3 linked regions of the Diceros bicornis minor genome follow. The protein of the gene in region 3 purifies or fractionates together with the protein of the main gene of each other region. This does not show direct contact. Links are inferred from orthologs where the notes say so. Each region holds a gene or a part of one and is shown on either strand. Other genes may lie near its edges.

The links.
Region 1: the proteins of CDH2 (region 3) and CTNND1 purify together in Homo sapiens (affinity purification with western blotting; 6 studies listed by BioGRID and IntAct, with this or other methods). This does not show direct contact. The link is inferred for Diceros bicornis minor from reciprocal best matches to the Homo sapiens genes CDH2 and CTNND1.
Region 2: the proteins of CDH2 (region 3) and JUP purify together in Homo sapiens (co-immunoprecipitation; 4 studies listed by BioGRID and IntAct, with this or other methods). This does not show direct contact. The link is inferred for Diceros bicornis minor from reciprocal best matches to the Homo sapiens genes CDH2 and JUP.

What each region holds. Positions count from the first base shown.
Region 1 is NC_080770.1:16,229,159-16,236,455, forward strand, and holds the start of CTNND1 (catenin delta-1), read right to left. Parts: upstream 3,010-7,297; 5' UTR 2,790-3,009; intron 2,250-2,789; exon of another isoform or gene 2,183-2,249; intron 1-2,182. UniProt on the Homo sapiens protein: Key regulator of cell-cell adhesion that associates with and regulates the cell adhesion properties of both C-, E- and N-cadherins, being critical for their surface stability.
Region 2 is NC_080757.1:41,065,591-41,073,582, forward strand, and holds the start of JUP (junction plakoglobin), read right to left. Parts: upstream 3,038-7,992; 5' UTR 2,931-3,037; intron 2,924-2,930; exon of another isoform or gene 2,845-2,923; intron 1-2,844. UniProt on the Homo sapiens protein: Common junctional plaque protein. The membrane-associated plaques are architectural elements in an important strategic position to influence the arrangement and function of both the cytoskeleton and the cells within the tissue.
Region 3 is NC_080755.1:23,174,434-23,182,133, reverse strand, and holds the start of CDH2 (cadherin-2), read left to right. Parts: upstream 1-4,673; 5' UTR 4,674-4,674; coding exon 4,675-4,734; intron 4,735-7,700. UniProt on the Homo sapiens protein: Calcium-dependent cell adhesion protein; preferentially mediates homotypic cell-cell adhesion by dimerization with a CDH2 chain from another cell. Cadherins may thus contribute to the sorting of heterogeneous cell types.

The sequences.
Region 1 (7,297 bases), on a different chromosome or scaffold from region 3:
GCCTCTAGCAAGGGCTCATTTTAGTTCTGGCTCTTGTTTCTGTTCTCTCTGGAGAATGGCAATGTATTAGTGGTTATGTCCACGGACTTGGTAGTTAGTCAGACCAGGGTTTAATCCTAGCTTTGGCCACTTACAGGCAATGAGATTTTCAGTGAACCTCAGCTTCTCTAAGGCTCAAATTCCTTACCAAAAAAAAAACAGTTGTTGTGGGAAATTAAGTACATAGTTTATGCAAAATGCTTAGCACACAGTAAAAAAAACAAGGGAGGGTGGGAGAGGGAGGACTGGCAGTTAGTAACAGAAGACCATCAGGTACCAAAATAGAAAGCAATAAATTATACAGAGCTAATCATTTTGTTATTCCAACTGAATAGTGAACTATGCTTAATTTATTTGCATCCATCCTGTCTCACCCATCCCTAGAGAGCAACTACCTCATAAACCTAAGGCTGAATTGCAATTACTCGGAGCTTTTTTTTTTTTTTAAGATCTCCAATAGCCCCAATTTTTATACTAGCTGAGAGAACATGTTCTAGCCCCTCTGACTCTCCCTAATTGGAACCCTAAGAAAGGCACTAGAATTCTAACCACCCAAAGGAGACTCCCACCTGGCACACAGACCCGCTACCTTAGTCATATAACAAAGAAACCAACAGTATATAGGAGTCAAACAAGGAAAGAAAAATCTGCACAACTCATACTTACTTGTCATCATTTTTCACCCCAAAATTAAAATGAGGAGCACAACAAAACATAAAAGATTTACTTATTCCTGTCCTTTATTATATTTCCTGAAAGAACTAGTAGAGGTGAGGTAGAAGACAAATCTTCCATCTTATCATCCAAAAGCCTTCACAGTACACACCAGTCAAAACAATGCCTCAGTTCGCAGAAATACTCCTGGACGCTAGTTAACTAGGATGCTCTCTGCAGCTACACAAAGCCCAGTATTTAAAGCTGGACCCAAATCACCACCACTCAGTCATCCAGAACCTATTTTCAAACTGCCTTTGTACTCCCTTCTTCAGATTCCCTCATCCCTCCCCCTAAAGGTTGAGTGGGAAACCGACACTCTGGCAGAAACATGACCAACCCTCCAAAGATCCACCAAGAAACATCCCTAGGCTGGAGTCAAGGCAGAGAGAACATTTGAGAGAAATTTGGAAAATATTAAATAAGAACTACAGCCCAACAGACTGTACATGTTGTCGTTTTTCTTTCTTTTTAGCTACACTTGCTATAATTATGAGATCCAGACATTAAAATTTTACTGTAGCCCTTGCATAGATGATAGTAGATTAAAAGGAGAAACAAAGTTCTGTTTCCCCTGAAGCCACAACCTCACAAAGATGAAATCACCTTTCAAGAGATACTTTCATTCTAGAAAAGGAATTCAACGAAGTGTTCTAGTCTAAAAAGAATTGGGGGGAGGGAGGCACAAAATCAGAGGATTATTAAAGAAACATCCCAGTTTAAAGCTAACGAGTAGCTTACATATTAAAGCCCATCTTGTTACAATTAGGGCAGCATCTTTTCCAGCTACAATTTTCAGACCGATTCACATTTTCAAAGGGAGAAGGAAGAGAACACCCGGTTTTCAGCTACTGATGAGTTGGCTATATAATTATCTAGAATCAGTATTTCTGCAAGAATGTATTCGCGAAAACAAAAACAAAACAAATCTTAAGATGAAATATAAGATATGCCAACAGTCATGGGCCTTCAGCTCTTACAGATTTCTGATTTCACAGCAAATTAACGAAACAAAAAACTCACCTCCAAAAAACAACTTTCAGTTTGGTTTAAAATTAAGAATTCCCCTTGTGCTTTCTCGAATGCATTCTAAACACTAAAGTTTGTTTTCTCTTGGCCTAACCTTATTTAATCCACAGCCCTTTCAGAAAGCACAAAGCTGAAAATATTTTCAGGTGTACTGCCACTTTACTAAGGTGAACTAAAAAACATGATTAGAATTTCCTTATCCCTTTAAGCACAGAAACCAAACGTTACCGGTAGTATTTGCAGACTGAACATACAACACCTCCACAAATTTTTGCAATCAAAGGTAGTTTAAGGAGGAAAGGAATGGCAATTCAGTTAACATGGATCCATTTGTTTTCTGTTATAAGGCAAAGCAAGGAGGCTACGTCTAGCAGGAGAATGAGGCTCCCACCCACCGCACCTGGAAAAGTAAGAGGGATCCACCCAGGAACAGCAAGGCTGAAACCGATCTGGGCCGTTCAAACTCTCTGGGGAAAAAAACACCACAATTTAAGCTGCAAAGCTCCCTGCAACTTTCCACTTCCATGAATCTAATAATAAAAGGGGAAAAAAAGTTTTGAAACATATGAAGAACCATCTGTATAACTAGCTTCTGACCCAGACAAATTCCTTTCCCAACCCACACGCAACATGCCAACTTTTGGTTTGGGCTCTGAAATCAGAAGTTTGTTAGCTTAATCCAGAAAAAATATATAAAATAAAAGAACACATCAAAATGTAAATTTACACAATTGCTCTTACCCCTCTGAGTCTACTCATCGCCCCTATATTAGAGAGACCTAGAAGTTTGTTTCTGGGTCTTGAAATATTTTAACCTTTTTTTAATACAATAAAATACCGAAATTCCCCAAAGTAAGTAGAAAGGAAAAGTAGTAATTGCTTAAAAGTCACCCGTCAGCATAGCAGACTCTTGTTTGTAAATTCCCTCTGGTTACCGTAAGACAAAAATTCGATTTGGCTTATCTTCCTTTACCCGTCTGTATACACATTTTTAAAAAGGCACACACCTCAAATGTGGACTTCTAAAAACCAGTCCTTTAAGAAAGAAACCCAAGGCTTCGTCAATGTGCTGAGAAAGACAAATCCAGCAAGGTAGTTGATTTTTCGCCACCTCTTCCTCCTTTCAGGATCTTTCCTACTCTTCTTTCTCTCTCTCCCTCTCTCTTTTTTTTTCTCTCAGATCCAACACCTAAAATGGAAGTTGCACCCAGCCAAAGGCTAGAGAGCCTGGGTGGTGACAAACTGATCTGGCAGCCCTACCCCCTCGCTTTCCTAAGTGATGTCAGCCCCTGAGAACTTCCAATAGGAGCCAGGCATAAATCAGGGAACTGATTTTATCCAATAGGAAACTTTATTATAGGAAATTAAAAAAAAAAAAAAGGAGAGAGGAGGAGAGAAAGAGACAGGGGGAAGTTTTATATATATATTTATATTTAAAGTGGAGACTATACAATCTCTGAGGAATTGCTGCAGAGCTCCAGGCAGGCCGAAGGAACGAGGGCTTTTTAGAATGGCACACCTAAGCCTTGGTTCTCTTTGATGGTGGGGTTCTTGCTCCCTCTCTCTTCCTTTCCGGGTAGGGAAACAGAGAAGACCTGATTTTATTTGCCTGCTATTTGGTTTGTTGCTTTCCACCCCAAAGCGTTTTCCCAAAGGAAGACGGGAAGGGAAGGAGACAGAAAGCCTAGAAACAGGACTACTATGTGTTGATTGGGATGGTAGGGGAGATCTGAGGTAAACTCTCAATTTCATTGTTTTAGTTTAACTGCATTAGAGCTAATTAGAAAAAAATAAATGCCTGGACTTGTTAACAGTTTTAAGTGTCTATACTTTCAACTATAAGGAAACTGAATCCATTGGGCTGCTGAGGAAAATCGCTGTCTTCCCTTCTGTCTCCAAATCAAAATAATGTGGGTCTATAGAGGAGAATAAATGGAATCCAATAAACAAGGAATATATTTAGAGGAGATAACAGCATGTGTAAGGATAAGTAAGTCTCATATCAAGAAAATGTGATTTCTTTGTGAACTTCAAGCTTAAGATGATCTAGTTCATACATTCTCTTTTTACACCTGACCTAAATAAAGAATTATACAGGTATTCTTTTTCTGAATTAAGAGTTATCCCTTAATATGTTCTTAGACTGTTAGGCCATGAAGGAAGCGATTGGATTTTTTTTTCACGCTTGACAAAGACTACTAGTATTTTATGGTCATTCCGTGGTTACTAAATAAAGATGATAATGATGAATGGAAAATTTCCTTCTTTCTTACTGAAAAATCTAAAATCTATCCTGTAGATTACTGCCAAACGAATCTTCATAAAGTTTTCATAACCTAGAATAGTGGTTAAGAGCATAGGTTCTGCAGTCTGACTGCCTGGCTTCAAACCTTCCTCCTCTGTAAGCATACTTACTGGAGTAAGGGTACTACTACATGACCTTGGACAAATTATATAATCTCTCTGTGCCTCAGTTTCCTTAACTGTAAAATGGAGATAATAACTATATCTCTCTCACAGGACTGTTGTGAGAATTGAAATACATATAAATTTCTTAAAACAATGTATGGTATATAGTATAAACTCACTGAGTTATTATTATTATATTTCAAAAGCCAAAGATAATTGCCAAAGGAAAACAATCAGCACAAGAAATGTTCATTGATTCACTGATTCCTAGATCAAAGCCATATTCTAGAATATTCTATGATTTACTAGAGATGGATCGGTCTTGTTTCCTTCACATCACCACTAACAACTGGCAAGTATTTTGCCTTCCTTTTTCATGTACATGCGCGCATGTGTGTGTATGTATTTTCCTGTCTCCCCTACCCAAAGATACGTTCCATGAAGGCATGAACAGTGTCTTTCTAGTTCATGTTGTATCCCCAGAGCTCAGCCTTATATCTCATACTTAGCAACATATGAATAAGTGAATGAAGTCTCTTGGCTTACTAATTATGTAATCCTGAACAAGTCATTTAACATTAATGAATTTATAGGTAACATTCAAAATAAAATTATATACAAGTTAAAAAAGATAACTCAGTGGTGAAAAAGTTGTTTAAATTTATCTGAAACAGCTATCTCCAAATAAAGCACCACAAGCATTAACACTCACTGAGGGAAAAACTGTTTACACTCAGCTAATAGAAAATAAAAAGACTAGTTCCACTTGGGTTATTTTGAGCACCTACTGTGAGCCAGGTACTCTTCTAGATGTCAAGGATAATAAGACAGACAAGTTTCCTGCTCTCGAAAAGCCTACATTCTAGCAGGGGGAGAGAGATTATAAATAAGATGTCAGATGGAGCACTATGGAGAGATCTAAAACAAACTGTCGAGAATGACTTGTTACTTGTAGATTGGATATCAGGGACAAACTCTCAGGAGAGGTGACATTTAAGTTGAAATCTGAATGGTAAGAAGCAGTCAACCATGATAACATATGAGCAATGATAACTATTAATGCCAAAGCCCTAAAGAGTGGGGCTAAAACATACTGGATCCAGCAGAGCTATTGGTAATGAGCAGGGCGGGACAGGCAGGAATCAGAATATGAAGGGTTCTATAGGTTAGAGGAAGTTTCGATTTTATTCTTAGGTAGAGGAAGACCTGTGCGAGTTTTAAACAGCGGAATGACATGATCTAACTCACATTTTGAAAAGATCTGGCTGCTTACGTGACAAATGGATTAAAGAGGAGGCAAGAGTGAAAGCAAGGAAATTAGTTTGAAGGTCAAGTTGTAGTGACATGGAATTGACTACAGTGGTAGCAGTAAAAATGGAGAGAAGTCAACCAATAGAGTTTATGTTTAGAGATACAGGGTGGTTTCTGCTTTGGGGTTTTTTTTTCCTTTCCTTTTTTCCTTTCTTTTTTTGTTTTGTTTTGTTTTAAATGCATGGAATATTACATTCTGTGCTCGCTTTTACAACTCTCAAAGTTTAACCTCCCCACCCACAACCATCACCACTTACACACAAAGGAAAATAAGACACCATAAAATGGTGAAAGATTAAGGAAGAGCTGGGAAATAAAATTGTATTTAAAAAAGCAATATTAAAATTATACAGGGCAGAGTGCTGTGCTGTGATGACTTTACTTGTAAAACAGACTAAAACCATAAATGCCAAGGAGAAGAAATGAACAAAATTCAACTCCAGCAAAAATACTGGCTATGCATACGAAAGAAAACAAAATATTTTCACTCCTTTCTACCCTCTGATGGCTACACATTACCATCCCAAGGTTGTCTTTTGTTTGGTGAGCAAGATTGGTCCTGAGCTAACATCTGTTGCCAATCCTCCTCTTTTTGCTCGAGGAAAACTACTCTTGAGCTAACATCTATGCCAATCTTCATCTATTTTTTTTTTTTTTTTGGTGAGGAAGATTAGCCCTGAGCTAACATCTGTTGCCAATCCTCCTCTTTTTGCTTGAGGAAAACTATCCTTGAGCTAACATCTATGCCAATCTTTCTCCATTTTTTTTTTTTGGTGAGGAAGATTAACCCTGAGCTAACATCTGTTGCCAATCCTCCTCTTTTTGCTGAGGAAGATTGGCCCTGGGCTAACATCCATGCCCATCTTTTTTTGTTGTTTTTTTTTAACAAAGGTTTATTTTTGTTTTTTCCCCAAAGCCCCAGTAGATAGTTGTATGTCATAGTTGCACATCCTTCTAGTTGTTGTATGTGGGACTCAGACTCAGCATGGCTGGAGAAGCAGTGCAATGGTGTGCACCCAGGATCCGAACCCTGGCCACCAGTAGCAGAGCACGCACACTTAACCGCTAAGCCACAGGGCCGGCCTACGTGCCCATCTTCCTCTACTTTTTTTATGTGGGACGCCTGCCACAGTATGGCCTGATGAGCAGTGCACAGGTCCACGCCCGGGATCTGAACCTGCGAGCCCCAGGCCACCGAAGCAGAGCACACGAACTTAACCGCTAGGCCACTGGGCCGGCCCCCAGTCTTCCTCTATTTTATATGTGGGACACCACCACGCCATGGCTTGATGAGCAGTCTGTAGGTCCGCACCCGGGATCCAAACCTGAGAACCCCAGGCCGCCGAAGCTGAGTACGCAAACTTAACCACTACACCACTGGGCCAGCCCCTGAAGTTTGTCATTTTGGAAGCCCTGGGTAGGATGGCCATTTATCATTCCCTTTACAAATTCTACTAACACAAGATTTAACTAAAATGGTGTTGGATTAAGAAAAAAAAAGTGAGTCCTCTCCACTTCTTGAAAATTAATCTAATCCTGACAACAATAATATTCACAAGGGGATATAATATTTATATTTTCCTTACAAGGCCACAGAATCACCTATGCTGGTACTCCACCTGCCTAATCAAGTCTTGATTCCACAGCAACAGACGCCATAAACAAGCGTTGTTCTGCCTTCTGTTCTTTTTTTTTGGCTTGCTTGCTTGTGTCTCTGTGTGTGTGTGTGTGTGTGTATGCACGCGTGCACTGCTGACATCTAAAATCTGTCCTCCTTCTGCTAAATTTTATGTCC
Region 2 (7,992 bases), on a different chromosome or scaffold from region 3:
CTTCCCAGTGGGGATGATACAGCAGGATGAGCTCTAGGTTTGGAGCCAGAGGACCCAAACACCAGTCTTGGCTCTGCTTGGGTCTTGCTGTGCAACCTTGGGCAAGTTACTTAACTTCAATTTCCTCACCTGTAGAATGGGGTTAGGACACCCGCCTCTAGGGATAGCCACAAGGATTAAGTGAGAACAGTCAATGAAAGTACTTGGTATCTGTAAAGTCCTCCCTCACCTTTTAAGTGACCATGTGTCAAGTATCTACTGAGTAGGTAGGTATTATTATTCCCATTCTGCCAAGGAGGTCACTGAGGCTTGGAGAGGTGAAGTGACTTGACCAAGGCCACACAGGTAATGACTGACAGAGCTGGGATTCAAACCCAGCTCAGTCTAAGCCGAAATCGCAGTGTTCAGAACTGCCCCACTGTAACATCTCTCCACAAAAACAGCCCTTCAGTAGGCGAGTCAATTGCCCCATCTCATTCTAAGGTGGCTCCTCTGCCCAACCCCTCCCAGGTCAGGGAGAGATGCCCCCTTACCACCACCACCCTCCCACCCCCACATCTACCTGTCCCATGGCTGCCAGCCCTAGCCTGATCTCCTCCATTCCCACACACTGCCTTCTCAAAGCCTTAGCCCCAGCAGCCCAAGCAGAAGGTCCAGAGGGAATGGGGTGGAGCTGGGGTGCAGGGGTGGGGCAGGGTGGAGGGGGTGGAGAGGGCTCAAGTCACCCAAGCTGGGGCTTGATCTAGCAAGGAATGACTAATTGGATCCTGCCTTTTTTTCCCTTCTCCCTCCTGTCCAGTAAGCAGCCAGCTTTCACCAGGCACCTCCTAGCAATGCTTCCTCAATATTGTCTTTTCATCACAGCCACAAACCAGATTAGCTAAACTAATCATTTAACCAATGTAATTACAATGCCTTCCCCTCCTCCACTTTGGCACAGAGGAGGGAAAACAGGTTATTTTTGCCCAAACTCCATACCCTTGTGGCTCCCCAGAGGTACCCCACCCACTAGAGCAGAAGAGGGAGGGGGTTCTCTCCTCAGTCTCCCCCTAACCCAGAGTAGGGCCTGATCCCTGCCCAGGGGCACATCATAGGAGTGGGGCTGACCTTTGCCCCCACTCTCCCATCTCCAACCACCAAAGAGGCCACAGGGTCTTCCCAAGTGAGTCAGGGCAAGCAGCCCCAATTTCCCCCCAAGTCTTCCCTTCACCCCAGGACTCAGGGAGAACCTGGCTCCTACATTCCCCCTCTGTTCCTCAAGGAGGCTGGGCTCCAAATCTCTGCAAAAAGACCACACTTCAGATTTCTTAAAACCTGTGTGAAAGCCTGGTGGAGATCCCCAACTCTGGCCAGGGAAGGGGCTCTCAAGAAATGGGGGGGGTGGGGGTGGCTAATGCAGCTCTGCCTGAAACCTTCCCCCCAGAATCCTTCCTCCTGTCCCAACTTTCCCAATCAAACTCTCAGGAAAGGGGGTGGGTGGGGAATGGACTGCAAAGCCTCCAGAAGGAATGCACCTTCAAAATCCAGAAGGCAAATGGAAATCAAGCAACATTGCTCTTTGCTCTTAGGCCTCAATTGCCAGCCAGCAAAACAATGTGGGGGATGGGGTAGAGAAAAAAAAAAAGAACAATCGCTCCCCCCACCCCCGTCTGTTTGGCCCGGCCCTGCCCCACCCCCATTCCTGGGGAGGGGGGCAGAGCTGGGGAGAAAGCCACTTGCGCAGGCCTCAAGCGAGGGGGTGTGGTGGTCCCCGGAGGCAGGAAGAGAAGGAAGAAGCTGCTTCCCCTTTCGGCCCACCCCCCCCACCCCGGCCCCCACCTCAGGCCCCAGGGGCCCAGCAAACAGGATGGAAGTGGGGGCGGGGAGGCAGGGTCACAGCGCAGGCACTGGCCCTGGTTCAGCCTGGCCGGCTGGGGGAGGGGGCTTTGCTCAAGATGGACCCCGTAAGCCTGGGGGGACGCCCTGGGTAAGGAGGCAGGAAAACCCCCAGAGAAAGCTGCTGTGAATACTTCCTCCTGGAAAGTTTGTTTTGGGTGCTTTTTCCGACAATAAGAGGATAGAGAAGAAGAATGGTCCGGTTCCCATATCAACACTCTGGAAGCGGCATCTACTGGAAACTGGGCCAGTGAATTCTCTACCCATGCACGACCCCTCTGCCCAGACCCCTGTCCGAGCCACTGGTGCCAGACCCCAGCTGGGCGCGGAGCCGGGCCCTGCACCAGTCCCACTCTCATCCCATCCCAGCACCCCTGGCGGAGCCACAGCCCGGCACCCACCAGAGCGGAGGGAGGCGCCACAGGTACAGAACCGACGAAGCTCCGGGAGTTGGAGGGCAGAGCCTCTGGACTCCGTGTGCTCACCTGCTCGGCAGGTGGGGCCCGCGTCGCTTGGAAAATGTGCGTTCGGCCCCACAGTTGGGCAAGCCGGGCGCAGACAATAGGGCCCCACCCAGGCCTGGGGGAGTAGGGAGGGAGGGAAAGCGAGGATGACGCGTGAGGTGGGGTGAGGGTGGCCCCAAAGAGACCAGCGGCAGCAAGTTTTCAAACAGTAAATTCCTGACTACAGAGTGAGCCCTGGGACGCAGGCGGAGCAGGTCAAAGTCTCCCCCGCAAGAGTCAGGGTGAGAGTCAGGGACGCGGCGTCGGGCGGGCTCCGCGGCCCCGGCGGAGGCGCGACCCCGGAGACACCTGCCCTGATCCCTCTCCACCCTTCCCAGATCTCCGGCTCACGCAGCCCCTCAGCGCACCCGGCCCGAACCTCGCGCCCCTTTAGCCGCCGCGCCCAGGACCCCAGCGCGCCCCCTGCCGCCGGTGCAGGGAGGCGCTCCCTGACACCCGCCCTCACCTGCCCTGAGACGGCGGGGGTTGGCCTCTCTCGGCCGCTCGCCGCCCTTCTCTCGCCCCAGCGCTACCTGCCCCGATCGTCCGCACCTGCGTGTGGAGCCTGGCCGGGCTGGGCAGGGGTCGGGCCGGGATGGGAGCCGGCGCGGGCGGCGAACTGAGGTCGGCGCGCTCGGGCGGCGGCTGCTCCGGACTCTGGCCAAGGCAGCAACTCAGTAACCGAACAAAAGGCGAAGGGACCTGACAGCCAAGCCACGCCTCTCGCCCCCTCGAAGCTCCGCCCCTGAGGGAGACGCCCACCCGCTGATGCGGGCTCACTGGCTGCCTCGCTTGACTGTCCCATCGAGGGGCGGAGCCTCGCGCCCAGTTCTCTTCCATCGCCACCTCTGTTTATCCTCTGGCCATTGGCACCAGAGACTGCCAGTCGGCTCTGGGGACGGCCTCCAACTTGAGGTTCCATCCTAACTCCGCACCTATTGGCAGATAGGAGGTTACTTCCTCCTGATTGGGCAAGGTGTCGTCAGTAAGACTAAGGAAAGAACCAATGGGAGGGATGGGGTGTGTCTTGCCCCACCCTAGCTCTGAGCAGGTAAGACTCATTACTCTCCCCTTCCCCCTACCTGTCCAACAGGTGAGTCAGGAGGCGCCATGGGAAAGGACAGACGCTTTCACCAGCCAGCCAGCTCAGCGTCAGGAATAATGCTTCTTTGGGCTTATTCACCCTTGCCACAAAGTGGTAATAAGATGTTTGTATAGCACTTCATAGGCTATTAGCTGGTTTGGGAATTTTTTCCTGAAAGATGGAATGCTCCTGAGATTTAGAATCAGAAGGCCTGAGTTTGGGTTCTGCCACTTAGGAGCTATATGATCTTAGGCAAGTTACTTCATCTCACCCTGTTTCTCCTCCTCTGTAAAATGGGTACATTGGCTATATCTCTCTCTCAAGGGAGTATGTGGGGATGAAATGAAGTAAAGTTTGTGAAATCACTTGGACAATTGCTAAATGTTACAATTTAAATTAATGACTTTTTTTTTAATTCTCGTGACAGTTCTGAAAAATTGTTAGGACAACAAAATGATTGTCATTTCAAAGATGAGGAAACTGAGGTTCAGAGAGGTCACAAAACTAGAAAGTGGCACATCCTAAACTAGAACCCCTTTCTTCTCATTTCAAGGCTCACCAAACTACATGTTCTCCTGGTGGAATATAGCACCGACATAAAATGTCAAAGCAGTGGGGAGGGGCCGGGGAAAAGGCAAAAACAAATTCCGGGGAGAGACAGAAGAGTAGTGATTTGGGACAAAGGGACAAATTGAGGCTAGACATCAGAAGGAACTTACCAGTGTTAGGATAAGGAGACAAGGACATTCATATATGGGAGGCTGGAGACTCTCCTTTCCTGGAGATTTGTCAAACAGAGAAATCCCTGTGAAAGGGACAAAGACTGAGAAAGTATTGGTGGGTTTGGAAGAAATCAGGCAGCAAGGAAATCAACACTGCCTAAAAGAAATGGGGCAGCAGGCCCCTCAGTAGTGGAAGAGTCTGGGTTAGTTATCAGAAAGAACGTCCGGGGCCGGCCCCGTGGCTTAGCGGTTAAGTGCGCGTGCTCCACTACTGGCGGCCCGGGTTCGGATCCCAGGTGCGCACCGACACACTGCTTCTCCGGCCATGCTGAGGCCACGTCCCACATACAGCAACTGGCAGGATGTGCAACTATAACATACAACTATCTACTGGGGCTTTGGGGAGAAAAGGAAAAAAAAAAAAAAAGGAGGAGGATTGGCAATAAATGTTAGCTCAGGGCCGATCTTCCTCAGCAAAAAAAAGAGGAAGATTGGCATGGATGTTAGCTCAGGGCTGATCTTCCTCACAAAAAAAGAAAGAAAGAAAGAAAGAAAGAACTTCCCAATAGGCAGCTTAAGAAGATAAGAGTCTTCTCTTTCTGTGGCTGATGAAATGAGTGCCTGCTGGTGGCAGTACAGTGTGCCAGGGGTCCTACAGACATTCATTCATCAATAGAGCACCAACTGTATGCAAGGCACTGGGTTAGGCACTGGTAACATGGAAAATCAAAATGATCCCAACCCTCAAAGGGCTCCAGAGGGCTAAGTGTAAACAGGTCACCTCAGCCGCTCTGTGTGTGTGTGTGTAGGGAGAGGGGTTGTTCGGGAAAGGGTCCTCCCTCAAAGAAGCATTATAGCCCCAAAGCTCGCACACAGGTGGGCTGGGTGAAGGAAGCCCTGCAGCATCCTTGACCGCTTTCCCCACCAGAGAAAGCAATGATGGCTAAACAGTTGCAATGATGGCCAAACAGTCGCACTTCTGAGGCTTGTGCCATCCAAGAGGTCTTCCTGGAGGGGGCAGGGAGACATCAACATCCCTAACCAGGTACCATCCCACGTGCCACTGCCCTGTGCTTCATTTCCCTTCCTCCCCCTCCTCCAGCTTACTCAGTATCTTTCTCCATACCTTACCCCTGCCCCACCCACCTGCTCAGCACCCTGCCACACTGTGCAGTGGCCAGCCCCCAGCTTGGGGGGAAAGGAGCTCGAAATCCTAGGCTGCTGCCGTCGCCAGGGTTTCACTTCCTCCCTCTTCCACTTCCCACCTTCCCTTGCCCACTTCCCACCTTCCCACACCCTCCCCTGCCTACACACACACACACACACACACACACACACACACACACACACACTTCCCAGACTCAAGCCTGGCTCAACTCCTTCCTTTCTCCTGACTTCCGCATACGGGCAGGGCAGGGCTGGTTGGCTGCAGAGGGGTGGAGGAACCTGGATCGGGTGGAGGGGCAGAAATAAGGCTTCAGAATAAAGCCTATGTGCATGTGTGTGTGTGTGTGTGTGTGTGTGTGTGTGTGTGTGTGTGTCTCCCCAGAATGTTCCCTGCTTGTCAGCCTGGAACATGCTGCAACATGCTTGCCCCAAACTAAGCGCTCAGGCTGGGACTGGGTGGAGGCACCGCGGCAGCAGTAGGAAAGATTGGGATGACAGCTGTGTCTCTCCGCCCAGATCAAGGGGTTTTCTGCACATTTATGAAGCACCTACTACGTGCCTGCCAGGCACTGAGGATTCATCTGTAGGATACAGAAAATGATGTTGACCAGAATCAGCTGTCTGTGTAGGGGATTTGGTCTCACAGGGCAAGGAGGTGCCTAGGGATGGGGATGAGAGTCGCTGTGCAGCAGTCTCCTCTATGACTAGAGCTTGAAGGAAAGGCCACAAGACCATCTTACCCAGTCCCCTGCCTCCAAGCCTTTGAAGGCAGGGATTTCTCTGTTTGACAAATCTCCAGGAAAGGAGAGTCTCCAGCCTCCCATATATGAATGTCCTTGTCTCCTTATCCTAACACTGGTAAGTTCCTTCTGATGTCTAGCCTCAATTTGTATTGCTGCAATTTAAACTCATTTCTCTTGCCCAGAGCTCAGTGGAAGCAGCGTCCTTGGGCCGTCAAGATCACATATGGTTAATTCAACATTGCAGATTTCTGGGGCCTCAAGTAAAGAAGGAAAGAGCACCCAGTGGCCCATCCCAAGCTGTCCCAGAGACAGAAGCTACTAGCAAAGAGGGGTCCAAGGAGGGGCTGTTGGGAGGGAGGGGAGCTGGTGGGGGATGGGCAGGCGCTTTCCTGAGGGAAGGTGAACAACAGCCCAGTGCCCTCCAGGCTCATCTCACTTCCCCTCCCCGCCAGGAGGCCTCTGGGCCATATAAGGAGGTAAGAGTTTCTGTTGTCTGTTCAAACTTGGCCCTTTCTCTGTGGGGTCCCTTCCCCAGACAGAGGCTGAGGAGATTTAGATCTGCACAAGCCACACACACAAACACACACAACCTTCCGTGCTCACACCTCAGGGATATACACTCATGGGCACAGATTCAGATACGCAAACACCAGACGCATCAACGCTTTCTCCCCAACAGACAAATACACACACACACACACACACACACACACACACACACACCCTTCATCCCTCCTCTTCCTCTAGGGTGGCCTCAGGGATGGTCATCTCTATCAAGGGAGACTGGGGTGAAGAGACGGGTTGCTAAACTTCAGGCTGACAATGGTCCCTCTTCATCACACAGCAGCTCCCTCTCCCCTGGCGTTAGTTACAGCAGCGGGAAAGGAGAGCGACAACCGGGAGTTGTCGCTTCCCACGTGGCAGGCTGGAATCAAAGGCAATAAGAAAAGGAAGAGGCATCTTGAGCACAGGCCGGCTCTCAGCCCCGGGGCAGAGCCACCCGTGGACCTGGGAAAGGGGCCTCTGTGTTGGGTCCTATCCCTCAGAAGGCCCCACTCCAGCCCTCCTGCGGTTGTGCCCTCCACACAGGGCCAAAGGAACAAGCCTATACAGAGTTCATGGCTCTCCCCTTCAAGACCACACTCCGGGTGGCGGAAACCCTGAAATTCCTTGCCCAGCAGTGACCCCGCTTCTAGGGCCTGGGGTCTCTCACTCCGGCCCTTCCTCCCCTCCCGAGGACAGCAGCACCGCCCGTCGTACAAGCACACACAGGCAAAGTGGTGACAAGGGCAGTTATGGGGACGGGTGGACACAGCACAGATATGCAAGCTGGGGTATCTACACGCATGTGCTGGAGGCCCTTTGTGGTGTGGGGGACCCAGGGGTTCGAAGGGACGGGGAGATGGCCCAGGGGCTGGAGGCCTGGGGACGGTTATCCCCGGGCTGCCATGTTCTGAGGAGTCTGAGAAGTCTCAGTTCCATCCTGGCCTCTCAGGTCATTGTGAAGTTGTACTTATCAAGGTATAGCTTATTTAACAGTTTGTGTGCTTGATTTGTATGTAACTTTTTGGACTACAGTATGTGGACCTCCATTTGCACGCCTGCCCCTGTCCCCTGGAGTTGGGGGTGACTTGCTCGGGGTGACCCCTTCAGGGCTGGGGAGATGACACTGGCTGCAGAAGAGCCTCCAGGCTCCCAAACTCTTCTGGCTGGAGGGGCCCAAGCCTTGCAGGAGCAAGAGCGAGGTGGGCTGGTGCGAGGCCTGGAGGAGGGGTGCTTCTCCGGTTTTTTGCTGCCCTTTGTCCAGGGGAGGAGCCTCGAAGCCAGAGGCTGCCCACGGCCTGGTCCTGTGGGTGAGTGCCCAGCCAGCAGGGAGGGCTCTTAATTACAGAGGTAGC
Region 3 (7,700 bases):
TAATCTGTTTCATATACCCTTCTACCTTCCAGAAAGGGATTCTTTTTCTTTTTTCTTTTTTTTTTTGGTGATGTTCCTTGTAATACAGAGGCTGCTTGTGAATTACTTCCCTCATCATGCAGATTTATAACTCATTCACTCACTTACCTGACCGTATGTACTTCCAGTTACTTACTTGGTTATATTCTCCATGAAAACACTGAGTTTGACTTTCAAAGAAATAAAAGGTAAATAATATCTGCAAATAAGAGTGGATTAAAAAACAGCCAGGTTTTTCTTCTAGTATTGGAACAGATCATGACTTCTCTTGTTGAGTACCAGATGAACTGAATGGCTGGCTTGTGCTTAGCAGCCAGCCTGTATCAAAGGTATGGATCATGAAATGCCAGAATCACACTAAATACGGCGAGATGATCACACCGAGAAAGGCATGTGAGAACTGAGATCAGCAGAAAGAGAAGCTGAGTTATGTCTCCTGTCTCACACATACTCTGAAGAGGAAAATACCTGAGAGCAACAGCAAATCCCCAGAATCATTAAATTTCTTTTTCTTTTTTTTTAAACTTCCCTTTCATTCCACATAGTTGAATTTTCTAAAGTTAAAGAGACTCCCTAGAATAACATAAAGAGTCTAGGTAAGACTGGGAGTAAGAGAGCCTGTGCCCCATTGGGGTTCCCTATGTCCCAGCTAGTAGCCTTGTGTACCTCTTCAAGCCTCAGTGTTCCTATAAAATGAGAGGGTTGCAGAGACCATCTTTAAGTTTTGTTTTGAACATTCCATACTCTATAAAAGGGATATTACCCAGGGAAGTTCAGTTTTATTACACTAAAGCTAATTGGGGAGAACCTTGCAACGTGAGGGATGCTTCCTAAGGGAGAAGGGACAATCCTAGCTTGCCCTGGAGGTTGGGAGAGAAGGAGGAAGAGTGGAGGAGGTCTTGAACATTCGGGAAGGACACTTAGATGGGTGTCAGAGCTCAACACAAGTGAGGTTCCTGCCTTGCAGCTCTGTGGGGGGAGGTGGGGGTGCGTGGGAAGTGTATGCCACAGACAGACGATTACTGTTCCCCATTTGCTAAGTGAGGACCCTTTTATACAAACACTCACGTGATGCATTTGTATGTTTAGCACCTCTTGTTTGAGAAAACACACCAAAACAAAAATTTATTATGGTTTTACTTTGAAATGAATGTTTAAAAATGAATCATCATGGCATCTACATACATATGAAAACTGGCTATGTGTGCAAGAGACATCATTTATGCAGTCTATCCACAATGCTTGGTGCACAGATTCATTTACAGACCTCCCTTAGTAAACCAGCAGCAGCGCACAGGTCAGAAATCAAGTGATTAGACTGATTTTTGGTGTATGAGCCCACCCTTAGTTTTTATGATTATTTTTCTTGTCTTCCCCCCCTTTTCCCACCACCTGGCTGTTTCTCTGGGTCACTGTCAAGCCCCCTGCAGCCCTAGAGCTCTGCAGGCTGATGGAAAGTTAATCCTCAGACTGGTGACGCTTTGAGCAGAGGCTGAAAATCTGACAGTTTGGTCACCACTTGCCCAGAGGAAGGAATGTCTCCATTAGATTAAGTATAGTGCAATGAAGGTACAGCTCTGTGGGGTGCCAAAGTTAACACTAGATCTACATTTATTAACATCAAATGGATGCACAAAGTCTCCAATAACATGATTTTAGACTGGGCTACTCCTTGAGATAAAAGGTAGATTAGCAAGATTTGGCTGACCACATGCTCAGGTTAAACTCAGGCAAGATTCCAAGCAATTCATAACCATTGAAGAGTAAGAGGCATGCAAGTTGAACTAAAAAATAAAAATCTGCAAGTGCTTACTTACCTGTATGATCAAAAACTATTGGAATCAGAGAATTAGTTGACTGACAGGCATTCCAAAGCAGATTTTGAAATCATAATAAGAGTTTAATTTATAAGGGGGTGGATGTTTAAAGCTTCAAGCAAATAATACTAACAAGCAATAGTTATTCATGCTGAAATCTGTCCTATCTTTAAATTAATCAGAATGGCAATAAACATCAACGGCTACTGCTGGCAGTGGTGAGGATGTAACTGAGGCCTTACATCCGGGATCACAGCTTAATTCTTAGGCATGGACATGGGATCTGTAAATTCCGCTTTGGAAATCAACAAACAACATCCCCATAGTGCTACCAAATGTTTTACTATTATGCATGACTCCTTGAAAGTGGAATTTATAAATACTCTCTTGCAAGGAGAACTTTTAGGTGGATTAGCCATAGAGTGACAATAACATCCAGCAAAGGAGAGAAAGAGAAAGATCAAGTGGAGCCTTTGTCTTTAAATTTAATTAATATGACCTTCCTTATTCTTTGGAGAAGAAAATCCAGAAAAATTTTTTGTTTCATTAAAAAAATGGCCTACGATATTATGTTTTAATTAAAATTAAGTTTCCCTATGAATATTAAATTTTTTAAAGCCTCACCAGCAATAGTACATTATTAAAAGCCGCATCACTTATGTCAAAGAAATTTGTACTAGATTTTTAGAAATTCATCATCAGGTTCTTAAATGATTAGTATCCTGAATCTCAAAGTCAAATAATGTTAATACTTCAGTTACCCAGAGCAGAAGAGCAACGTTCATTAACCGCAACGAAGTTCGATGACCTCCAAAACGTTGAAACGCTTAGCTAAAACCGGTATTTTTATCTACCTGTAAAATCTAAAAAAAAAAAAAGGGTTCTGGAAAAAATTTATTACCTTGCCAAAATCAATAGCTCCTCATCCCTCCCCCATTCCACAAATGCTTATGACCCAAACTTTTCGTAGTCTCTCACTTTTTGTTTCACTCCAAGTTCATGCCTTAAAAGGAGGGAGCAAAAGTCCTTTACTTGGCGCAAACTCTGTACCAGTTATTTTATCCTTTAGATAACCTTATTATCACAGCGAGTTCTGGCTTTAGGTTCTTTCTTTCTTTCTTTCTTTTGTGGTGGTGTCATTGTTGGGGGTGGTGTACGGAGGAAGTCAAAGTCCCCGAAACTGCTAAAATATGTGAACAGTACTACTAACGAGTAGAAATTAAAACGAGTGATTTCAAATAAAATAACACATACTCTCAAACTCCCAGAGGGGACCAAAGAAAATATAAAAACACAAAAACTTGGGCTGTTCCAGTACATCTGCAAAAGTGGGAGAGGTGGGAGCGCCCACGAGAAGCGGTGGCCTCCGCCCGCCCGGGCCCGCAGGTGGCTCGGGGAAAGCGCCTCAGACAACAATGGCCAGGATGGGCTTTGCCTGCGTCGCTAGTTTGCTGCGTCTGTCCCTGCCCGAAAAATAATCTATTTCCAAAAAATGACAAAACAGAAAATAGAGCCTGCGTTAGGCTACCAAGGAGGCAGTCCCCCCAATTCTTAATCTCGGATTCCCCATCGCGGTCCAGAGACGAACCTGCCACCAATCATCAAGTTCCTGCGCAAGTTATTTTATTTCCCGCAGCCCTTCCACCTGCCGAGGCGGAGCTCCGCGCACCCCTGGCTTCCCTCCGGCGACCCCCCGCGGGCTGCAGCAAAAACGGGGCGCTTCGGCGGGGCGGGGTCGGGGGCGGGCGGCTGCCTGGGATCCGGCCGGCTACCGCCGCAGCTTGGTGGCCTGCGATTGGCCACGACGCGGGCGGGGAGGGAGGCGGGGGCGAGGGCGGCGGCGGCGGGAGGGGAGAGGAGAGCGGAGCGGGCCGCGCGACCCCGCAGCGCGTGCGGCGAGCGCGGGCAGAGCGGCGGCGGCGGCGGCGGCAGCGGCTAGCCCTGGTCGCGCTCGCAGAGGCCGAGCGCGGAGCGCGGTGCGCGGGCGGGGGTGGGGCTGCGCGCGCGCCGGTGAGCGGCGCGGGGACAGCACCGGCGGGAGGTGTCAGCGCGCAGGCAGCAGGGGCGGCCGCGGCGGCAGCTGCGCGGGACGGAGCCGCGGGGGTAGCGGCCCCGTCGGCCCCTGGCCTCACCCCCGCGCGGCCAAGGCCGGAGAACAATCTTCAACTCTCCGGGAGCGGCAAGGAGAGCCGAGAAGCGGCCCTCAGCTCCCGCGCAGCGGGACTACTGCCCTTTGTGGGCCAGCGCGCACGGCCCGGAGCGCCCTCCCCGGCGTCTTCGTCGTGCCAAGCGGCCCTGGAGACGGGACCCGGAGGAAGCAAAACCAGGAGCCCGAAACCTCGCGTTGCGGAGCTCCTGGGGAGCGCCATCCGCTCCACTTCCACCTCCGCATCCTACACCGGCCAAGGTCCCCGCCGCCTGCATCCCTCCCGGCTTCCGCTGCGCTTGGGGCCGGAGCGAAGCCGCCTGCGCTGCCACAGCGGCCGCCTACACACTACAGACACACACACACACACTCTCTCTCTCTCACACACACCCTCACACGCACGCCCGCCCCCTCCTCCGCCCCCTCCCCAGCTCCTTGATCTCTCGCTCTGTTTTATTACTCCTGGTGCGAGTCGCGGACTCCGCGGCCCGCTATTTGTCATCAGCTCTCTCTCCATTGGCGGGGAGAGGAGAGCAGTGGAGAAGGGGGTGGGGTGGGGAGGGAAAGGGAAGGGGGTGGAAACTGCCTCGAGCCGTCTCTCCGCGCCGCTGTTGGTGCTGCCGCTGCTGCTGCCGCCGCCTCCGGCTCCTCGCTTGGCCCCTCTCCGCCTCCATGTGCCGGATAGTGGGAGCGCCGCGGACCCTGCTGCCGCTGCTGGCGGCCCTGCTTCAGGTACGCGGCGGTCCCCGCGGGCCGGGCCGCGGACGGGGTGGGGCGGGCGGCGCCGGGTCCCTTTGTTCCCCGCGCCGCTGCGGGGCCGGGCTGCGCACCCGGGAAGGGAGGTGCCGCACCGCGCGGCCGGGGGAGCTGCGCAGGCACGAGGCTCGGCCCGGGCGCAGGAGCAGGGCTGCTGGGGCCAGCTGGTCTCGCGCGCCTCTCTTTGCGGGTCCTGAAGGGGCCGATCGCTGGCCCCCTTTGCCCTTCCTGCGGGGTCGGGCGAGCTCGCGGGTGGCGTCTCCACGCAGCAGAAGGATGAGGCAGGATAGCACCCCGGTTTTGCAGCTTTCTACGCTTCTCGCTCCTTGCATTGCACTTTGCTCCAATTTTTTTGTTTATTTCTGCAGGGATGGGTCGCGAGTTTGCAGTAGGAATTCTCACTCTGGTGTCTTAGTTACGGGACTTGCCTTCACCCCACCCCACCCTGACACCCGCGCGCCTCCCGGTGCTCGAGGGCTCCACTGTCCTATTGTCTTGACCCTAGCACAGAGTTGCCTCCTGTTCTTGTTCTCTTGCCTCACAATTTTCTTTGTCGGTTCCACCTGGAGGAAAAACCTCGCCCCCTTGTCCCGAAGAGTCTTTGCGGGCCGGCACCTCCACACCCAGCCCCCGGCCCTGCGCGCCCCTTATCCCGCCGGGCCGGGAGAAGTTCCGTTACTCGGCTATTATTCCTCTCCCTCTGTCCGGCTGCTTCTGTCCTGCGTGCGCCCTGGGGGCGCCTTCCCCAGGAGCCTCCGCACTTTTCACGCCTTCGAGAGAGCGCCAGACGGCCCTTTCATGGGATCTGTGCTAGAGGCTCCTCCGCGGCAGGAAGCACCTGCTCCAGGCAGGTCGGAGGCTCCCTCGCCACCCCGCGCCGCCGGTCCCCAGCCCGGCCGACCGCCCAACTTTCCCGCGGCGTCCGGCCAGAGGATGCCCGAGGCCCCTCCTGGCCAACGAGCAGGGTCCCAGGGAGCGACGCCGCGCGCATCAGCCGCGACCCTCGCGCTGGGCGAGTGCCGGGCGGGGGTCCTGAATCTGACCCCGCGGGCAAGTGGGGTCCCAAAGCGGCTGCAGGAGAGGGGCGTGTCCGCCCTCATTGCGGGACAGGGTCTCCCGGGAAATCCGCCCGAGGGGCTCCCTGCGCACCGCCGGCGGCTGGGGGTGGCCAGCTGGTGGCAGTCCCGAAAAGTGCGGGCGCGGCTCGGAAGTGCCGCTGCGCCGGGGGCGGCCGGGGCTGGGACAGATGGTGCGGATCGCCTCCCTCCATGGTCTTCACGGGTCAAAGCCTGGCGCGCTCCGGCCGGAGGGGGGCCTGCGGGCGCCGGGGGCGGGACGGGGCCGGCGCCCGCGGTCTCTCCGTCCCTCTCCCGCCGCCCCCTAGAGGGGTGTGGGCCGCGGCCGCGCCGAGCCCTGTCCATGGTGCGCCGTGGAGCGGCGCGTCGGGCCCTGCCCGGCTCCGCGCTCTCCTCCCCCGGGTCGTGCTCTCCCACTTTCCGGCTCTCTCCTTCCCACTGCCTCTGTAACCGCCCGTAATTCCTTTCTCCTTTCTTGGGTTTCTCCTTTTGTTCTTTCGTCTCCTGCTGGTCTTTCTCTTTCCCCTTCCCCCACTCGCCCGTCCTCCCCGCTCGGCTCTCTCCTGACTCTGGGGTTTCAAAACTATTCGAGTGGACATTTTTGGCCTCCGCAGTTTTGGGGAGTGGATGGAATTTCTTCTAACTTGGGGGAGGAGACCTGTCAGTCACTTGCTAACAAAAGCACCTCCTGTTATAAAACCGTCCTTTATTCTGGGAGCGCGCACTCTCATTCTTTCACCTCCTGTCACTTCATTTATTGTTTCTTCTTTTAAAATGGGGTTTATTAAAGAGGTTAGGCTGAAGGGGAAGAGGGATAAAAAAGCGCCTTCAAGTGTTTGGAGTTAAGAGAAAGGCAAGATAAACTCAAGAATCCTGTGGACATCAGATATATATATATTTTTAAACAAAGGAAATATAGATCAAAAAATCTTATTTTTAAAAACATTATTTTTTGAACAACAGTGAGTGGTCTTGCTTATTTACAGACAGCTTAAAATACATCCTCAGAGTGTGAGCCTAACAGTAGATGGTATGTTCACTAACTTGATGGGAAAGTAAGTTTTAATTGAATACCGTGTACTGAAGTTAGGCCAGGAGGAGACAGCTTTTGGTCATTAATAACCGTGGTGCTACTGGAACAATCTCATTTCCTCTTTTAGTCATTTGCTTTGAAATCAGGTGTGCATTTTGTAGGTCATTTTCTTTTTTTCCTTACGCATTTTTAAAAATATCATTTATAAACGTCAGATACCATGCTTATCTTTCCCACTGTACGTTCTTTCTCAGTTTCTTCTAGATCTATGTTATGTTGACTTTTATACACCTTCAGGAAAGGGGAAATTATAACTTTGTCATCAAGTTGTTTGGCAGTCTTCTAATTCCTGGGTGCAAGTCAAGCGATGAAGTTGAATGATTTGCAAGGTCATTAGGAGTGAAAGCAGAGGAGTTTATGCAACATCAGTTTTGGGGTTACCTGCACCCATGTCGTTTGTACAGCTGAGATTGGAAATGACTTTGTGCTAATGGTCTGCCTTACACACCAGAATAGCAAAGATCTATCTGCAAGGTGAAATGGCCCTTCTGCAGTCGTCTGCTATTGAAAGTCTAGTTTTTTTCAGGCTGGACTCAAGAACCAAGAGTTTTAGAAAAGAGAGTGAGTAGGCTATTAGTGTAGATACAGAGCAACTTTATTTTTTCAGGCTAGTTAAAGAAGAATAACTGAGTATTCAGAAGGACTTTTTATGCCTTTAGTTAACGGAAGTGTTCCTTGCTTTGCTTTGAACTTTTTTTTCATTTTGAGAGAGATTCTTTACTAGTTTAGTTATTCTATTATCTAGATTTACATAATTCTAGTCAATTTTTCAT